Linked DNA regions of Lepisosteus oculatus. The protein of the gene in region 2 interacts with the protein of the main gene of each other region in a pairwise test. Links are inferred from orthologs where the notes say so. Each region holds a gene or a part of one and is shown on either strand. Other genes may lie near its edges.

What was found.
Region 1: the proteins of ccndbp1 (region 2) and syf2 interact in binary tests that used the Homo sapiens proteins (3 or more experiments, as listed by UniProt). The link is inferred for Lepisosteus oculatus from reciprocal best matches to the Homo sapiens genes CCNDBP1 and SYF2.

What each region holds. Positions count from the first base shown.
Region 1 is NC_090706.1:3,908,892-3,919,562, forward strand, and holds the start of syf2 (pre-mRNA-splicing factor syf2), read right to left. Parts: upstream 4,304-10,671; 5' UTR 4,282-4,303; coding exon 4,225-4,281; intron 3,251-4,224; coding exon 3,152-3,250; intron 2,385-3,151; coding exon 2,259-2,384; intron 1,091-2,258; coding exon 973-1,090; intron 1-972. UniProt on the Homo sapiens protein: Involved in pre-mRNA splicing as component of the spliceosome.
Region 2 is NC_090711.1:1,705,561-1,715,750, reverse strand, and holds the start of ccndbp1 (cyclin-D1-binding protein 1 homolog), read right to left. Parts: upstream 4,343-10,190; 5' UTR 4,259-4,342; coding exon 4,171-4,258; intron 2,763-4,170; coding exon 2,703-2,762; intron 2,539-2,702; coding exon 2,459-2,538; intron 2,126-2,458; coding exon 2,044-2,125; intron 1,961-2,043; coding exon 1,864-1,960; intron 1,755-1,863; coding exon 1,681-1,754; intron 1,042-1,680; coding exon 965-1,041; intron 769-964; coding exon 515-768; intron 274-514; coding exon 213-273; intron 1-212. UniProt on the Homo sapiens protein: May negatively regulate cell cycle progression. May act at least in part via inhibition of the cyclin-D1/CDK4 complex, thereby preventing phosphorylation of RB1 and blocking E2F-dependent transcription.

The DNA.
Region 1 (10,671 bases), on a different chromosome or scaffold from region 2:
CCAGCTTTGTTTCTGTATTTTAATTGTACTGCAAAGCTGTAGGCTGGAATGTCATGTTTTAAGAGGGTTTAGAACTGTGAACATAATACACAACCCAGTTAATGTAGCTGAAAAGCTTACTGAGCAAATGGCAGTTGTGTAAAGTCACACCGAGCTCTCATATTAAGATATGACACCGACTTACACAGATCACACCTTACTCCAAAAAGATTATACCTGTACAGAAATGACTGTGCTTCTTAAGCTCAAATTTATGAACCATGCTGACAACTTCTTACTTTTTTTTTTTGAGATGGGAGTGTTATCACCTTCAACCTTGGGAGCTAATATTAGGAAAACTATGCAATGCCCTTCAAGAAGACCATAAATATAACTGTTATATTCTGTTTTAGGTTGCACTACAGATTTAATTTTTTCCAACTACAGAATTGGTAGCTTTCTTAAATTATCTGTGGTGGCCACCAGGAGGTGTGTCACATATAAATGGAATTATTCAGATTGTTATTTCTTTGTGGACTCAAGATAAGATATAAGTACCACAACGCTTTTGAGAACAGAAGATGTAAGAATTGATTTAGAAGCAGTACACATTTATTCAGACATAGGCAAATTTTTGTACTATCTTCTTGAAAGGTAAGGTTCTGAAAATATAAAAAGACAAGAGTGCAGTTTGTTTTTAATTTTTGTTGAATTGCCAAATAGCTCTGACAACTCAAACTGTTAACTTCATTTTTTATGTTACAAATCCAACCAGAAAAAAAAATGCCATGAAATGTTGGGATCAATGAGCTAATGACTATGACATGAGCAAGATGCGGTGAATGGGCTCTTTATGTTGGAAACCTACGCAGTCTTATGAAAGTTAGGTATGAAAGGTAGGCTCCACCTAAGGACAGAATTTCGAAAGCAGGCGAGTGCTGCAGAAGGGCGGGCATGTGTCTGGTAGGACAATAACAGCACTAAATCACACACCCGAGAAGCCTGGATCTGGATTCTTCTTCTTCTTTTTTCTTTCCCATCTTTCTGCATCGTCGGCACTGATCTCCAACAGCTTAGCTCTCTCAAAGTCCTCTCCTCTTGCTGCACATTCCTGAAAATGACATTTTTTTCCAATTTCAAAAATCGGCGCTGGGATAACCCGAACGCCTCGTCCTCCACGTTAACAATGCTTGTCGTCATCATCAAGTCCAACGAGCTCCTATTCCATTCGGGGTCACGGTGGCTTGAAGCCTATCCTGGGAATCACTGAAGGCAAGGCAGCACAGGATGTCAGTCCACTCACACGAGGGCCAATTTCACAGAAGCCAATTAACCTATGAGCATGTCTGTGGACTGCGGGTGGACCCACATGAGCATGGGGAGGACAGACAGCACGCATGGAAGTGAAGCCAGGGCCCCCGAGCTGAGGGGCAGGCATGTTAATCACCACCCCACCATGTCTCCTAATAACGTTTGCATATTTCTTCCACAGTGGCAAGGTGTTGAGGGAGTTAGTTCTTCACAGCTCATGGGTCCTGGGTCTGATTCCCTAGTGAAGTACTTTGTTTGAAGTGCACATTGTTCCCCCCCCCCCCACCCGAATGCTCAAACTTCCTCCCACCTTGCAAGGAATGCCGGCTAGGATAACCTGTTTCTATCCTGTGCCATCCCATTCAGGGCAAAGTTCTGGGATAGGCTCTGGGAGGCTAAGGATTACACAGCCTTCTTGAACGGCTGGAGATTTCGCCCCCCCCCATGATTTCAGTTAGAAATGTAACGATAAGTTAGAAGCACTGTGGTCCGGAATTAGCAGCACAACTTTGCAAACGTAGTCTTGACCTGAACATGTTCTGTAGTATCCCTGTCTTTGTGAGCACAATGTGCTTCTAGGAGTTTTATCCAGAGCCAAAGATTTTGCCCTTTTCTTTCACCCAAGCAAAAAATAAGGAAAGACATAAGCAAAAGGAGATCCCAGACTTGTATGTGCATACACATGCATGCACAGTTTCACATGCATCTCAGATGTGAATATTTCTATAGACATATAGAAATGTCTATAGAAATATAGACATATATGACCTATAGACATATATGACCTAAATTCTCAGTCTTCAAGAAGAATGGAGCCCATGCTCTAAACAGTGACGATTCTGCAGCCCTTCTGAGAGTCCTTTGGTTCAGTTACCTATTAGATCCATTCCAATATAAGCTCTTATAATACATTTAGTGACACCTGGATGCTAAGGGTCACACAACCAACTAAGAAGAGTTTTAGTTACCTTTTTCTTTTCATTCTCATTCAGTTCCCACTCCAGTCTGGCTTTCTTAGCCTCCCAGTTTGGAGGAAGTTTAAGCCTCTTGTCTTCTTCTACAACCTCCTGATGGTTGAGCTTGCGAGCTTCATTCTGTTTCAACATTATCATGATAATGCATGAGTTTTCACTGCAAATATTAACATTATATAACCCAGCATAATGGCCATTTCATGAAAGAGTAAAAGCTCAAGTTCGTAACAGTTCATTGTTTTATAAGTAACACACTGTAAAATCAGAGTAGATTCTAATACAATAATCACTTGCTTCATTCAGTATTTTATTTGCACTAGATGAGGGGTAATGAAAGGCCAGTTCGCAATGACCACAATGATTTTGATTTGTAACAACTCAATGAATGGTTTACCTACATGACAAAGGGTTGGAATTGGGCCATGTCTGCCCATGTCTGGCCTAGTGGCGGAGAATCGATATTACTTTTTAATGACGGGATGATGCCTCTGGTATAGCTACCATAGTTATTTAAATCAAGGTGCTGTACAATTTTGGTCCCCGCATTATAAAAAACAACATTGTTGCTCTTGAGTCAGTGCAGAGAAGAATAACCAGGTCCTGGCAGCAGAAACAGCTGAATAAGATTCCTGAAGCAATTAACCTTCAGCAACCATATTTGTTAGATTGGCATCCTCTCTTTCTTATGTCCCCATGTAATTTTATGATTTTTTTGTACAGACGAATAACAAAAGAGGATCACTTCTATTGTTCTCAGAGCTTTGTGCATTTTCCTCGTTCAAGCCATTCTGGGCTTGGCAGTTTCAACGCGTATTACAAATGAAACAAAGCTTCTGTATAACTCATGAGTCAAACACAGGGGGAACGAATATGAAACGATTTCTAACCCTCTTGAAGTGAAGCTCTCTGAACTTTCGCAGCCTGTCTTCTCTCTTCTGAGCTGCTGTGCTTTCTGAGGATTCCTCATTTGTGTCTGCAACAGCAACCTGGAACAAAATATTAAGCTGACTAAAAATGAGACCATTTTCACAAGACACGTGAAAGAACCGAGAACAGACAATCTATTTCAGAGGCTCCCAACTCCAGCACCTCAGAGCTGGGATCTCAGAATGTGCCCCATGTCTCCTTAAATTGGCAACAGCTGAAGGGTCTAGTGAAACGATCAAGTGGCCCATTTAAACCTTAATTAGTTAAATCACTGTGGCTGGAAGGTTGCTGGTTCGTATCCCGCGGCCGGCAGAGGAATTTTACTCTTTTTTAAAACTCATTTTGCCCTTAACCCCAACCGCTTCAGGGGTGCCATATAAATGGCTGACCCTGCGCTCTGACCCCAATCTTCTCTCCCTGCCTGTGTCTCATGGAGAGCAAGCTGGGGGTGTGTGAAAAGACAAATACTAGAAATTGTATATGGCCGATAAAGTGATCTTAACTAGTTGTTCACGTGTCTGAACCAAAAACCTAAATTGTCTTTTATAATTATGTACCTATAGAAAGCTGCGGTACAACCATTTCCAATTACTAGCCCACCCTGGGAGCCTGTTGCGGTTTTAAAGAAATACATGACTTTGTCGTTACAAAACCAAATAAAACATACAACAATCCGAAAATAGTTCAATCATACAATCACAAGCAGTGCATTAGAAGTACTTAAGTCTACACACTGGCTCCTCTGTAAAGGAACTCGTGGAAAAAAGGATATTAAAAACATCATTCCTAAAAGGTTTTTAAAGTTTCAAATAGTTACAAAAAGAAACCAGGCGTGTATTTCCCGTAATATATACTGTATAGGTTAAACAGCGTTGGACTACCGCTTAAGAATCACCATTTCCAAAGCCAGATAAGAAAGTTTCAAGATTGTCACAGTAGCTTGTGCGTTTTAAAAAACGAAAGTTCAAACAGAAAACTGGCAGTTCAGCGACAGAATCGAACATTTCAATAAGGTATTTTTCTGTTTACTAACCTCCATGCCCGACGCCATCTTGACGGAAGTGTCTGATGCAAAAGGAAGTGAGGTCATCTACCCGAGGGCCAGAGGGAGCTGTCATGTCTGTTGTCGTTTGTTTTTGTCGGTTTTTGTGTCGTAGTCATGCACGACAACGCAAATAAAATATTTCATTTCTGATGATTGTATATCTGTGTATTGGCAAAATGTCTACAGTTACCTAAAAGTTTTGTTACCGTATATGTTATTTTGGGCTAACTATGGGTGGGGGTTAAATTCATTTTAAAAAGTAATATATACGTAAATTAAAGCAGCGAAATAATTTACCCCCAACGTTACGTACGTATTCATTCCATCTGCTTTAAATATAGTAGAAGCATTTAACACACAATTTGGAAATACTAAGCAGTGCACAGTCAGTACATTATACAAAATATTTGTTTACGGGAAAGAATGAGCAGTTCTTGATATGATCAAACTTATTTTTTTAATCAGAAACTAAAAGCAAAATATGATAATACAGGTATCCTTGGAACATAGGACGTTTTTTTTCCCACAAAATTGCAAATTCCCTAAATTTGAGATGCCTGTCATATTAAGCAAATATGCTTTTTGGACTTCGTATTTTGCCACGGGGGGTTATATGATATGTTAGATAGGTATCGCAGGTTATTCATTCATCTCTGACGATGGTAACCAGAACAGCGAACCAGCTGTTTCGTCAATGCTAAGTTGAAACATTTGCATTATAGAAAAACAATTTTTTGGCACATCAAACGTCATAACACAAGTGGAAATGAGTAACTGGTTTCTTAAGTCTGAACTGCTGTTTGTAGTTATGCTCAGGTCTAAACTGCTCACCGGTTAATTTCTATTGCTTATCAATCTAATTAATTTAAACTATGTTTTTAAAAAGATAATGCTGTAATAAACCAAGATGCTTATTTCTGAAATGCTCTAAACTAGAACATACTGATCTTGACCCCATGAAATGGGTCACCAGTGAATGCCAGAGAATTCTTTTCCAGTGAAATTTCTACAAGGGAAGAAAATATTAATTTATAAGTGTCCTTAAATTGCTGCTGTGCTTGTAAAATGAAATTAGTTTATCCAATGCTGTTTTCCAACTGCCTTGACTGATTTAGATGTAATTAAAAATTAATAATTTTTAAAATATAACGGAAGTGCAGGTCAGCATCAATTTGGAAGTGATTAGTCACTGCAAGTGTAATTCTGATTTTCTGATGGAGGTACCAAAAAGCTATCAATAGCTTTTAAGTCAGCTAGTGAATCCCTTTCTTGTCTCCCTCAAGATCTGATAGATCCATCAGGTATTAGTGACTAAATGATGTTGTAGAATATTTTAGAGAGTACCCATGGGGAATATTTCAAGCAGATTGGTTGCCTGGGATTCATTCTAAACTCTCAGTGGGCATCAACTTCATTTAGAGGGAGTCAGAGCTATTTTCTGGGAAATTACATAAAAGGCAAGGAAAACACGAAAACAGTTTAAACCAGTTTAAACCTATAAATATCAGCTCAGACCTTAGAAACCAGTTGCTCATTTCCACTTGGGTTATGATGTGTGACATGACAAAAAAAACGTGTTTTTCTATACTGCAGAAGTTTTAAATTTTAGAATTTATCAGAAAAAAAGGCTAAACCATATGCAAACTACCCTAAATTAGGATAGCTCAATGAGGTCTGGTGTTTGATGTATATATTTTTTTTCTACTGAAAACATGTTTTGGAAGGAAAGTTAGGTGTTCGGCACAATTATCTCTCCCACCCAACCACCTAAAAAGTTTAAAGCAAAAAAGCACAGAATTCACGCTGAAACCACGAATCTCCTGTTCCAGGAGCACATTTACCAGCTATTTCCTCTTCCTGGTTTAAAACAAACTGGTGTCTTACTGATAATTAATGACAGTGTTAATGTTTTACAGAGGCATGCAGCTGAAGCTTTTTGGAGAATCTCATACTGTGCTGCACAACCTGAATATAGCACTTAATAGTCAGGCAGTGATCATATAATCAAGAGCAAAGAATGATTTTTATAGTAAATAATTAAAATTATAATGACATTTATATAACATTTTATAATAACACGCATACATAAAAAGGTAACATTTTCATCATATTCTGAAAGTTCAAAGAAAACCAATGGCAATAGCACTTCTATTAGCTGTTAATTAACACAAAGTCTATCCTGATCCCAACCTGTCCCATTAATTTACAGTCTAGATATTCTCTTTGGTTCAAGAAATTAAAAACTTGAGAAACCAAGGTGAAGTTAACTCAAAGTCAAAGCTGTTTCATTCACACTACATATTAAAAAAACGTACAGCTAAAAAAACAGCTTTAAACTAGCTAGTTTTAAAATCGTTTTTATATGCCATGTCAATACAGCTATTAATCTGTCTTATCAGTAGTATTTATTTCAGCTGAGGTGTGTACCTCAGCTATGAACTTAGCTGTTGCATGTTCTACAATTCTCTTTACAAGATAGAATTTCTCTGTCACACAAATAGCCATTCTGTACTTTTAGGTTCATCTTTTGAGTTTAGATTACTAATCAAATGTTTTTTTTTCATTTGATTGTGCTGCCTATTTATAATTCATAGCCATCTTTTTGGAAATAATTAAGAGTGCTGTCTTGTGGAGCTTACAGCCTGGAGATTAAAGAATACCAGGATCACAGGCGTTGTTAATGAGGTACTGATTTCCACCAAGTAACAGATGGAGAAACATGAAAGAAAACAAAAAATGGACAAAAAACAGTGATTCTCGATATTACAAAAGTGGAACAAAGATAAAAAAAAACAACACAGAAAACTTCATCAAAGTGAATGAGAGTCTGAATCTTTTTCAACAGGGAATTCAAGCTTCAGCAGCATTTGTCTTAATCATAAGAAAGTGATGGGGTCTCATCTCTCCCAGATGATAGCAGCTGGATCCCCAGTAGATTGATGAAGATGGCTCATTCCGTTCCATGTGTATTTAATACTCTGAAAGGGAAAGCTGCTTTGCTGAAACCAAGGAGTCATCAATCTTTTTTCTTCTTTGAGCAAGTTATGTAGCCATCGTAAAAGTAATCTATAACATGCACAGCTCTTCCTGTCTTCCCTGGGTGAGACACTGCAAAGGAGTAAAAAGGAGAATTGAACTGGGGGAGGCCGGAGTGGGAGAGTCGGAGGAAACTGTAGTGTAGCTACCATAGGACGATGGATGTGGCGGACTTCTGGTGAAACCCTAAAATAAACAGGGATGGAAAAGGTTTGCAAAATCTTATGCCATCAGTTTCAATGTCGAATGATTTTTTTCAACATTTCTCCTGTTTTCTTAGCCAGCTGTTTATACCTGGAATCCTGCTCATCTTCAGTCTATACTGGTTTGTAGAGCTGGGCCCAGAACACAGAGAAAGTATAGTGGAGGCAGTGTGAAGCAGAGAGGAGTGTAGCAAAGAAGGATGTAAATCATAGGAAATCATAGCAAAGTAAAGTCTTAATATTAGCATGGCCAAAATACATGAAAACTAAAAATACCGAGCAGACAAAAAAAATGACAAGGGATTGTTTTTTATTTGCCAGTTAGCTACTGTATAACAAAGTCTAAATATTGCTGTGTATAAGGGATCCTTTTCAGTTGATCATTTTGCTATTTCAGTTCTAGCTGAAAGACAGAACTCCAGGTTCTAGATATCGCTTTGCAGGTTTGCAGACACTTTTTGGCTAGCTGCCCATTTGCACCACCAGCAGAGCCTCAAATTCATAAAAATTCTGACTAGAAGACCCTCTGGCAAAACAGCTTGTTTTAGTCAATTAAATTAGTCAGACAAATTGGACACAGTGGGCCCGGACTAACCTGAGACTTTCAAGTTTTGATCTTAGCACCAGTATAATAAATTGAGATGATGCAAGAGGTTGACGTCAATCTTATTAATTGGTGAACCAGATCAGCTCCAATATTGGCCTTCAGATATTAAAGCCTGCTCGAGATAGTACATACTACATATAGTTTGCTCACACGCAATAATGCAGGTCTTCAAAATCGTCACATGCCTTAGAAGCCGCTGGTACTTATGTTTACATTTAAAATTTAATCAGTCAGAGCCTGTTTGCCTCCTGCAACATCCCACTTTTATCTCTCTCTCATGAAGTCCCGTTTGCAAAACCAGCACGTCAGTTAGCAGAACTCAACCAATGACACACCGGGCAAGGCGAGCTAGCTTCCAGCTGTATCACATCTGGCCGTTAATATAAACATCATGGCCTATAAAATCATGCCATTTCCTTAATTACTATTCCTGTCATTTCCGCCCTAAATGAAAAGTTATTCATTCCCGTCCAAAACAAACACACATCGCCAATCCTTTGCGGAGAGCCCGGGCAGAGGCTACAGTCAGCCATCCGCTTACTGCCATTGTGTGGAACAAATTCCACACTTACAGGAGAAAACCCAGTCTTTCCGAGTCAAAGCCCGAGATCTCCACATGAAAGTGGCACACCCTGAAAACGTGCCGCTTCTGGGGTGTGAATCCAGCCTTGCGAGCACTTCCGTTGCTCACTGCTGGTTTAATATAGATTTGGGTGATAATTGTCTGTCTGGTCTTCGCCCACGAGCTGCAGGGATTTCTCTTTTCTGGATCTTGGCTGCACAAGTCTCTTGCTTCACATCTTATGTTCGATTGGCTGTTTGTTTATTTGTTTTGCTGTCCACACCAAGCTATGTTAAGTACAGTACTGTACGTTCTCAATTATACAAGGTGTATGTGTGTGGGGGCTACTGCTCACCCAAACTCCATCTTTGCAGTGTTATAATCTGGACTCCGCCTGACTGTGACTTCATGAGATACAGCAGGCTGTTAGGACTGTCATCATTCTGTTGTAGAAGTCAGAAAACACAAGCTGCTCAAGTTTGCTCCACTATCCTGATTCACTGACTGGGATCAGATGGCCAGCCCTTCTAACATGTGACTTTATAAACATATCAGCTGGCGCCAGCACACACAAAAACTATTCATATTTCAAAATATATGAAATGCAAGGTAAGGGCTGCCAATGTGTGGAAAACAAGCATCTTTAAACAAGTAAGATAACTAAAAACGAGTGTAGTTATGATTTGCAAGTAAGTTGGGATATCCCTTGGTATTATCTTTTATTGAACAATCATATAACAGGAGACGCACATATATGAAAACAGATCTATGCACTCTAATGCCACAAGCCATGAATCTATGGCACAGACTGCAACACGGATAATTTAACTCACAATTAAGAGCCATTATGGGTTTCAAAGGACACCCCAACGATTTCTTTGGATGCCAATATGCATTTACAAACAGCTGTTTCTTGTATTATTTTCCAAAGGGAATCCAACTAATCTGTTATTTTATTATTATTAGTTTTTCAAATTAAAACAAGAGATTACACAGTGTTTTAAAATTACAGATTAAATTTATGATTAAAGTGAATGTAGGGCTTAAGGTTAATAAGAAACTGATTAACTGCATAAATGATGTGAGTCAACTTGCCCAGAGGTGAATTACAGTACTAAAACATAATGATTTTAATGCAAAGTTTTATTTTTTTGCTGTGTGGGTGGTTGGCCATCTTGTATGTGCTGAGTTACGCAGAAGTCAGAATTTCATTTCCATACCTGAATAGACACCAGAGGGAGCTAAATAATAATTTTTCCATTGTAGTAATCAAAACACATAATGAAAAACACCTATTCGGTTTTATTCATTTCTGTAGAATAATGTAGACACACATACATGTATTTTAGACTTGATACTTCAAAGACTGAAGGACAAAAGTATACTATGCATTCCTGTTTTGGTTAATGTTTAAATGTTTAAATAAAGTAAAACATTTTGACAATGATTTTGTATTGTTGGAAACATCTAAATGCCACATCTAAATGTGCTACTTATTATTAATTACTTACTGAAATATAGTATATTGATCTTATGCTAGATCATTGCTGACAATTTTTTTTAACTTAAAAGCTTTATACTGAGCTTTGGAAAAACCTTAAAAACCACACACACAATAATAACTGACAAGCTTCTGTACCAAAGACTAAGCTGACATTTAGAAAACGACGTTACCCCCTTTTGAACACATCAATCCAATCTCTCTAGATTAAACACGATAATTAAGTGAATACATAAGGAGCTTCTAATTGTTCCATCTGTGCATACCAGCCAGAGTCTCGGAACAGAGCCTAACAAAGCTTTATAGCTGCTGGGATTCTTAATTCCTGTGAGTGACACATCAAGCGCTCTTCTTGTCTTGACAGTTCTTGTAAATCTATACATTTTCATTAAAAAACAGTACGCCCTGTATCTAAAATTGCCTTAAGTAGTGTGAATGACCAACAACTTAATAAAACAAGTATGCTTTTGTGAGCAGAGGTGGACTAGCTCTGTTCTTTCGTGCGGCAATTGTTTCCTCATTTTTG
Region 2 (10,190 bases):
TGTGTGACCAAACAAGGACACACAGCCAAGCGATTTTCCGACAAGGGGACATTAAAATATCAAAGATGGCAAAAGATTCCGCACAGATTTATTTTTGGAAAACTTTCTTTCTGCATCAAACGGGAAGGGAACCAGTTACCAGTATTACAGCTAAGGCAGCACGCGAGCAGTGGACTCGCAGTCATGGAGAGACGGCAGGAGAGGAGCCTTACGTTCTGACGCACGCCGCTGTAGCTCATGGGGGGATACAGGCTGAGGGCCAGGTCGTCCACACTGCAAGACAGAGACCCGGGATCACTGTCCTCTACCCTTCCAGCCACGCCACAGCCCGAGCTTTCCCTGCCCTCGCGGGACGACACACCCCCCAACTTCCCAGGAGCTGGAAATGACGTCGCGAACTCTAACTTGCCGCGACTCAGACAGATGGAATAAAACATCCGGGAATCTAAAAAAAGCTGAAGTGCATCAACGTACCGATTAAGCCAAAAGCAGACAGGGAGCTCAATTCGCTCACCTGGGGCTGATCTCTTTGGTCACGTCAGCAAGGTCGTCCAGCTGAGCGATGTTCTCGGGCGTGTCCACCTTCCCATGAGCCTTCACTGCCGCAGACAGCTTCTTCAGGCACGCCTTGGAGGCCTTCATCAGGCCCTGGCAGGGGGCCAGCAGCTGCCTGTCCTCTTCGGACCAGTATGTGTCCTGGTTTCCCCGGGAGTCCAGCTCTTCGTCGTCCAGAACATCACTGAATGGATCCAGATTGTCCGCCTGGGCCTGGAGCAGGGAGAAGGGAGAAGATCTCTCAGGTTAATGGAGAGAAAGACAAGGGGGATACCAGACAGCTACTGACAATACTAGTTTAGCCGTCTCCCTTTCCCAGTGACAGCATGAGTGTCAGGAAAATATGTGGGTTAGAATCTCTCAGCGCCACTGTCACCTAACGGTGCAAACCCTCCATCTCGACAAGCACCTGTTCCATTTCCTCTATGGCATCCTTGACCACACCAGCGGAGGAGGACATCACCAACAGGACAGCTGCCTGGTTGTCTGCACGGAAAATTGAAAATGGAACAAAACTCACTGGTGTGCCCAAAACGCTGGGAACATCTGCAGAAAAAGAAAAAACACCTCTTACACAGTCACCCCTCCCCCCCCCCACCCAGTGTGGATGTGAATGCAGCAGACTGTAGCACCGCAGCACAGGCCCAAACTGATTCACAGGCAGCACTGACGCTTCGCATACCTGCAACACAGCAAACCGTTCAGGTGCTGAAATCAAAGTCTTTAGTCGAAGTCCATCGGTAAAAGAAATATTTTTCAAATAATGAACTGAACGTCTGCACGCACTCCCTGACACACTGGTCCCCATTTCTGGCTCCTGACCATCTCCTGACCCGCTTCTCTTTTTAAGGCTTGGACAGAGAAGACTGACAGGGTTCCTGATCCATGCGTCCCCAGTCAAGCCAATGAACGTCTTTAGCATCAGCAGCGTTAACGCGAGCCAGAGGTCACTGGAAACTAGCTGGACGTTTCAAGTGAGAACAGGGGGTAGAGGGGTTGTGAAAGAGCTCCCCAGACACGCTGTTACCCTGCCTGGCTGGATGAGCCCCCCGCATTAATTAACTGCTAACTGCTGAGCTGGCCCAGCTGCGGAGTGCGGAGGAGGGACAAAGTGGGGCGACTCACCTCTGGGCAGGTGTGCGACCTGGTCACACGATGACCACACCCCGCCCGTGGAGGTCAGCTGCTCCTGGGACAGGCTGTGGAGAGGCGGGGGGGAACAGGGAGGGACAGGGAGTCAGGTCCGCGTCACCACTTCCGTTTAAAAAAAAAACAACTGAATTCCGAAACGTCGGCGCGAGGGGTGACCTCTGCAGGGGGGAGCTCAGGATGATCTCGACCAGCTGTGCCACGCCCTCCAGCGCCTCCGCGGCGGCATTGCGGACGGTCCGGCGCAGAGTGACCCCTGGGGAGAGAGCGCCGGGTCACACCGAGAGCCGCGCGGGCGCGACGCACACGCAGCCCGCACTGAGGGCGACAGGGCTGTACCTTGGCTCTTGGGCAGCCAGTAGTAGACCGTGGCCAGAGACAGGGCGCTCTTCTGAACGCAGTCTGCCAGCATCTGGCAATCCTTGGAAGACAGACAGGAAAGCAAAGGATGAGAATAAGCAGGAAGGAAAGTATATGTAGTGTTCTTCACATGCATCACAAACACCAACATGACACCTAGTAACTGGAATCAAACCTGCATGTTTGTGTTCAATTAACAGCCGGCTTTTCTCCAACTTGAGGAGAGTAAAAATCTAGATCCACGATATTTTAGACAGATTACGGATTGTTTTACGCTCTTCATGCGCAGAAATTGCACTAGACACCCTTCAGATGCCACGGAGATAAAGGAGCTGCAAGCTGCAGGCCACCCGCGGGCCGAGCTGGAAACGGAGAGAAACAGGCTGCGGCCTACCTGGGCGCCGGGCAGGGGGGGCTTGGAGAAGGCAAGGCTCAGCTTCGTGGCTTCCTGAGACACCGCCTTGAAAGCCCGACCTGCGAACGCAGACCGAAAACTCAAACCCTCTCCGCGTCACAGACACCGACCGGCCCCAGGGATAAAAATCTGGCGTTAAAAAATCTAAAATGGGCCCCCCATTCTGCTACAGCCTTCCTGTGGAATCAGGACAGGGAAAGGAAAAACATAAAAAATACTCAGCCTAAAGTGTCCCAGAAATGCTGAAGGTTAAACTCTTCATTCGACTCCTTAGACTCGCCATCTAGAAACAGACAGAGAGATGGGTCAATTAGCCGAATGGCTGCACTGACTAATTAACCCCACTAAGCACAGCAGAAAGTCCCACTGCGTGCAAACTGACAAGCCTTGAGGTCCAGGCTACATGAAACCACCTGAGTGTTAAATAATCCTGCTTTCTCAGCTCTCCCCTAACTGGCTCGTTAGTGAAACGATCCGAAGGCACTCTTCCCACGGGCATCATCATCATCATCCCACGTGACACGTTCCCCTCTCTCTGCATGGATCTGGAATCCTCCGAGTGCTGTGCCACATGATGGCCGTCATGCCAGCAGGAAATTCAGCACAAACCAGTTCGTCTTTAGAGCAGCTGGGGACCGTCTCGGCCAGCTGCCCAACAGGTTACACCCCCAACTCACACTGACAGTTTCAGGCTGGTTTCAGGTCAAGGGGCCACAACTGACAGGGTGCACAGTGTGGTCAGGGGGAAACCCTGTCATCATTACCCCACTTCATGCTTGAAAACAGTTTGTGTGACAATTTGTAGGAAGGGCTCTTTTTGGAAACTGGGGTGCCTCACTTTTAGCTCTCGAGAAGTTTCCAGGACCCCCAAGGATACTACTTGAGTAAACCTAATCTCGCTCTACAAATTTGCCCTGGATCGATCATGTGTACAGCCTGCAAATCGGAGAAAATACGATAACACTCGATCATTTTTTCTTTCTATTATTATAAACTGACCACTTCTTATTTCACAGACAAATGACTATCACGTCGGCTGTTCCTTTACACTGTATTAAAAGGTGACACGCTTTTTTTAAGTCCGCTAAATCGGGATAAAATAAAAAGGCATAAAAGAAAGTAAGAGAAAAATTAACCTAATGGAAATTCACGTGTAATGAATTTTGTGGATGCCATTTAAAGCATTAGAATTATTTTATAAGTCTTAGTCGTTTAAATATCGTAAGCTGTAACGATCCAGCTATTCGCTACGTTTCACTAAAACGTGTACAAAACATCGGGCGTCTCCCCCTCAAAAGGCTTTTGCTACAGATAAACACGCTGCTCGATTTGAGGGTGGCGAGGCGAGCCTCAATTATCTGAGTTACATGAACTTTTTCTGTGCCCAGATCTCCCTTCGCAATGCAGTGATGAACAGACCGCCCTCTGCCGACGAGACACACTCCGTCATGTGCGAGTGAAAACCGAGAAAAGAGACGATGGCATTAACCCAAAGGACCTTCCTCTAAACGATCGTGGCAAAGATGCAGTTCTTCGTTCATGAACCGCTCGCAAATGAATCGGCTTGCGCCTTTCTTCGGGTTCAAACGTGCCATTACCAAGCGGGCCTGCTGTACTCAACACATCTCCATGCCAACACTACTTCTGGGCGATATCCCAGTATGACAAACAAATAAACAAGGTTCCCCTACCTCTCACTCGCTCCCGGATGCACTGCACCGAGTTAAGGAGATTTTTCAAAGGCACCAAGACGTCCGGACTCGAATTGTCTGCGTTCATATCTCCGCGTCTTCAAGCCAGCTCACAGCACATTGCACTCCCGAGGAACTAAAGCAGCCCAGCCCACTGTTTACCCCCTAGATTCGATTATTGAAGGAGTCGGGACGTCACTTCCTACCGGAAGACAATTAGGGTGACACCACGCAAGTCTCCGCGCCATCTTGGTGAAGGAGACTCTGTGTAACTTATCGGTTGTTGCCAATAAAGCTCTTTGAATTTGAAAAACCGTCCAGCGGCCGTGGCCGAGTCTAAATTAGTGTATCAAGACAGGAAAAAAATCACTAGGTGGCGCTCTCGGATCTGATTTAAAAAGTTGTGTTTAAGTTACAGTGCAAATCCGCGTTTTTCATTACAAAGTTACTGAAAACATTGGGGACGTTTATTTTATATGATAAATAACAAGCAATGTAAACAAACCAAAGATTGAAGTTGTTCAAAATTAACTTTAATTTTAACACAATCAATACGGTATACGAACACTTGAACACCGCAGTTTCAGAGCCGGGACAGGGAAACAGCAGGGACAACAGCAAGTGATAGGGCTTGGAGGGACTCTTTCACTGTGCAAATCCAGCCCCATCCTCCACTTGCACTGATTGATTGATAAAGGACAAGCGCCTTCTTTTAGAACAGATGTAATATTGTAGAAATTGCAAGACTTTGCATGAGTGTGTACTTATCGTGAGATGTTTATTGTGAAATAAAGTTTATTTGATAGAAGATATAATAGATATATAATAGATAATATAATAGATATAATAGGTACTGTACGTGGTGCACAATGAATATATTGTATGAAATCTTTCACTGAGTGAGTCAAAATGTATTTATTCCAACCTGGATAACCCATACAACCTACAGGATAAAACTTTATAACAGAGAAATTAAAGTCTTACTGATTTTTTGTTTGTTTGTTTGTTTGTTTGTTTGTTTAAAACACGGTGCTGTTCATCAATACCTAAACCTCTGTATCTGAAGTTCTTGAAAAAAACAAAGCAAGTTAAAACGGGACCTGAAATGCTGTCTGTTGTGTGTAGTGAAGTATTTTATTATATGTGGTTTATCTGAAGGCAACAGGATATTGCTTGGTGTCTGATTAGCTGTGGTTTAGTACATTAACCCAGGAGGCTGTGATTTCACCAGGCCTTATCACATTTTCACTCTGTGGTACACCCTGGTCCCTGGCATGGGGCACACTTTGCCCCTCAGCTAAAGGGCCTGTCACCCCCTGCCCCCCCAGCCAGCTGCTGGCCACGTGCTGCTACGTGTGGAGCAGCTGCACAAACACCACCGCGTCAGGCTCACCAGCACAACAGGGCTGTTTTGGCACTTGGCGGCAGCACGCTAGGAATTAACAAGGGAGGTTAATTTTTAATATTAAAAATGACTCTCCTGTGGACTGGGTGCCCGGGCTGGGCTGTGTTCCCACACGGCACAGCCTGCAGTCGCACACCTCCTGCTTTACTGAAGGTAGAAGTGAGCAGGGCAAAGAAACACAGCTGATACTCCCCCAGAGAGCCCGGATACAGGACGTTTTGCAGGTCATCAAACGGATTATTTCTGATGACCAGGAAATATCACGTTGCAAAAGATCTCTAATTTATTTTACGAATTCTTAAAAGATAAGGGTGAATTGTTCTAGGTCTTTAGAACCATGCAATTTAATTGTGATCTATAAATGCTAAAACCAAATTAAAACCGAACACTCCTTGTTCATAAAAATATTTTATCCATTTGTATATCATCCATAGTATGCATTCCATTACAATTTCCAAGCACTAAGAACATTACAGCATCTGGATTTCTGGTTGTAGACCTCGTGTTCGTCAAAGACTTAGCAGTCAAATATCGAACCTGGATTATTATGTTGGACCACAAAATAATTTAATTTATATGCACAGTAATAACTGTGAAAGTAATCCACTTCAGATTCGATACTTTCTTGTACTGGGACAGCCGCTGGATTGGGTTTGTAAAAATACATAAATGTTCTTTGCTTTTTTATTACTGGAGCAGGGAACATCAGACTTTAGCCTTTGACTTCAATGGAGAGATCGGTAGATGTGAATTCATAGGTTTTTGCATCTGTAAACAGAGAGGATAGAAGTGCATCAATAAGTCACAAACGTCAGAGCTGTCCTTGCCTCACTGAGCCTGCGCTGGCAGCATGCCAGCTGTTATTAATTAAGGGGATGTGTCAACATCCTTGAGGTTGGGAAGAAACAGGAAAACATGTTTTCCTCCTCTCTTCCAGTTCCACCACTCTCTCTGCGGTGCACGACAACAAGTGTATTTGTGTATTTGTGAGAGAACGTCTCGTCTGAACCCACTGGGGTCCACAAGGACTTTGCTCAAGATGCCTACGTATCATTAACCCTTTCTTTGGCATCCTTAGGCTTATACATCCAATGTTGTCTAGTTTTAGTGTTGATCCTTAAAAAGTTAAAGAATAAAAGTGGCTGAGCGACGTGGCTATTTTATTAATTCAGACTGAGCCAACTTGTTGATCAGTCGTGCGCTCACTCCTGTAACAGTAAGCACAGGCATGCACAGCGGCCATTCTGCACCAGCAGCCCCACCTGGGAGACACACAGGGGCCATTCTGCACCAGCAGCCCCACCTGGGAGATACACAGGGGCCATTCTGCACCAGCAGCCCCACCAGGGAGACACACAGACACCATTCTGCACCAGCAGCCCCACCTGGGAGACACACAGCGACCATTCTGCACCAGCAGCCCCACCTGGGAGGCACACAGGGGCCATTCTGCACCAGTGGCCCCGCCTGGGAGACACACAGTGATCATTCTGCACCAGTGGCCCCGCCTGGGAGACACACGGTGATCATTCTGCACCAGCGGCCCCACTGCACAGTGGATCAGGGTGAGATGTGAGAAACTGCTGCACCAGCTGAGTGAAGGAGGACCTTCTGGGAGGCCAAAGTGAAATTTAATGGGACATCAGGGTAACACCCCCACACTAACAAACAGTTATCATGGAATCCTTATTGACCAAATAAACTGCCTTCTTCCATACTGAATAGCGAATATTTGATGTTATGTATGTCTGCATTCAATTTTAATTTGCCAGGTGTCTGCCCAGTCCTGAAAACTATCTAAGGCTTTCTGTAATTGGTCTTTTATATCTATAGTGTGTAATTCCTGAAAGCCCTGTAGTTATATTTTGGTGGCAACGTGTCCACAGCTTGTCTACAGCAAGATGTCCAGTAATTGGTTCTCTACTGAACACTCTGGACTATTACTTCAATGTCTTCCACAATGGGGTTTAATGATTGTCTGTCTTATACCACATAGATGGTTACTCAGTATAGTCACCAGAATCACACAGATTTATAACGTGTTGCATAACTTCACCCCTGTACCCTTACAAACAATGAATCTGATTGTCTCGGTAGTACAGGGAGTCCCATCAGAATGAGCAGTACACCAGCGGCCATCTTGACAAGCCCTTCTGCGTCGGGCTCAGCAGTCTACAAACACCAAAGGAGAAGCGAAAACAGATAGCTGTGCACCGTATTTATTGAATAAAGCATTATGGAAACTTCCGCCACTTTCGTTCGTGTTTCCCTTTAATGTTTTTTTTCTCTCTTGTCTTAAGTTGAAAAACCTTTTTTCCCACCTTCTGCACAGTCTCTATGTGGGTCCAAACCTTATATCCGCAGCTGTGCCGAAGTCTTCGAGATCCCGCCCTTCTCCCGCGTGAAGACCAGCTCTTCAGTCATATTCCTCTGACTTTCTGGGCGTCTTGTTTTAAGACTGCTGGTTACATCGTGCCGAATTGTCTGTCGGGCAGGTTTTCAGAAAACGATTCCAGCCTCTCTCAGGATTTTGTAACTCCCCTCCTCCTTTTCTTTGTGCGAGAAAACACCGTGAAAACCGCCACCAGCTCTTACTGCGTTCGGCTCCCCATCCACACGCCCCAGAAACACAGCGCCTCCGGGATCATAATCCGTTCATCCATTCACCCATTCATCCAGTACATTTCTGACCACTCTCTCCGATACCGGGTCGCAGGGGAGCCGGGCTCCTGTACGATTCAGTATCCCCTGGGTCAGACACCGGGACCCATCTTACTTATAAATATTTCTAAAACATTTCCTTCAGTATTTTAACACATGACGTGCAGATCAAGTGTCTAGAATCGTTTCCGGAGAGTGAGAATCGTGTATTTTTTAAGAACATAATTTAAAGCCAGCGGTGGCGCTCAGAGTCGCTGTGCAGTTGGGTTCGGACGGGTCTGTCCCGGCTACCCAGTGCCGGACGCTCCTGCAGCCGGGTCTGTGCCGGAGATGCCCGGTGTGAATTCCGCCCCCAGCTGATGAGAAATGCGCGTTCAAAGCGCAGCGAGAGGAGGACAGGAGTGTGACTCGGGACTGCGGTACCCCTACTTCAGCTTTATTTGATCGTTTTTAAACGACATTGAAGGTTCCTGGAGGCATCTCTTACTCCTTATCCTGGATTTGGCGACTCCAGTGTCTGTTTTTCCATCTGGACTTTGAACGGTTTGATTTAGCCCTTATTTGAAGCAATACTCTGATTAAACTGACTATTCATTTGATCATTTTATTTATTTTTGCTCCTGAACAGAATACGACTTCGAGGAGCGAATCCTAAACTTAACGTTTAGCTATGCGGTTAAATTATTAGTTGAATCCGGGTTTAATTCAAGAGGGAAGAGTTCGCCTGGAAGAAAATGGATCAGAAATTCAGGCTCAGAGGGACCTGGAGTAGATTAACCGGCCCTAGAAACTCCCGTGCAGCTGCGAGCTCAGCTCTACCAGCCAGGACTCCCGGCTTCCGCCACTGTCACATCTTGGACGAGCCTCCGCGGCCCCTGACCAATCACAGCCTGCGATTCGCACTAAGGTGTCAAGACAACAGCCAATCAGGTTTTAGTATCTGCCGCAAGAGATACGTCATTCATCGACGAGATGGAGCCGAACAGGTCTGGAAGCTGTCTTGCATCACGGGCGATCTGGGGCAGAGTTGAACTTTAACGTGAACCGCATGGAGCAACTGCTAGCAATAACCTGGAATACTGCCAGATGTGATCTCTTTTTTTATTTTTTTCGACTCAGTATCTCGGAGAAAAAGAACAAAACAAGAACATGATGCCGGGTTGAATAATTAACCTTAGGGACGTGTTTTCCCGATGTTTAATTATTCATTTCGGTGTGTTCTTATCGGGGGGGCAGGTGGTTTGTAGGTTCTGGGTTTATGCTAATCCCATCTGAAGTTCGCCCCCCCCCACCCCGGCTGACACACTATAAATGAGCAGGACTGTCCAGCTGTGGTCAAACAGGAGCTGAGGCATCCCACACCGAGACCGTGTCCCAGAGACATCTGCAGAGACAGCTCACTCCATCCACCTGATTCGCTTTTTTTAAAAGGATCTTGGTAAGATATTAGACTATTCATTATCTCATATTTTCTCTGCTTTACATTCACTTTAAAATAAGTGTCAAGTTAAGATTTGCATTGATTTTAAAATACATTTGAGCATCGTCTTCTCTGTAATGCATAATGACGTGACGAACCAGGTGTTAGAAGGTCTCTGCTTTTAATAGTAAAAACCGTTTTGTCGTGGCGAGTTCAGATAGAGTCGCACTGGTGCCGGGGTGACTACCTGCAGACTACCGGCTGTGAGCTCTCAGGTACAGGGCAGCTGTATCAGAAATACCAGCTCACCTGGCTCCGGCGGGCAGGGGCATCTCCAGCAGACTCGGGCTGGGGCTAGACTGAATTCACTCAAACTCTTGAGAATTTAGGGGCCTTCTTACCAGAAGTGAGTGAAAACGTCATTGTTTTTGTAAATGCCTTTTTTTTAATAGGAGATGATTTCCAACCCGTTAACCGTTGGTTAAGTGAGTTCGATTATTATAAATGTACTGTCCCGTCCCGTTAATTTTATTT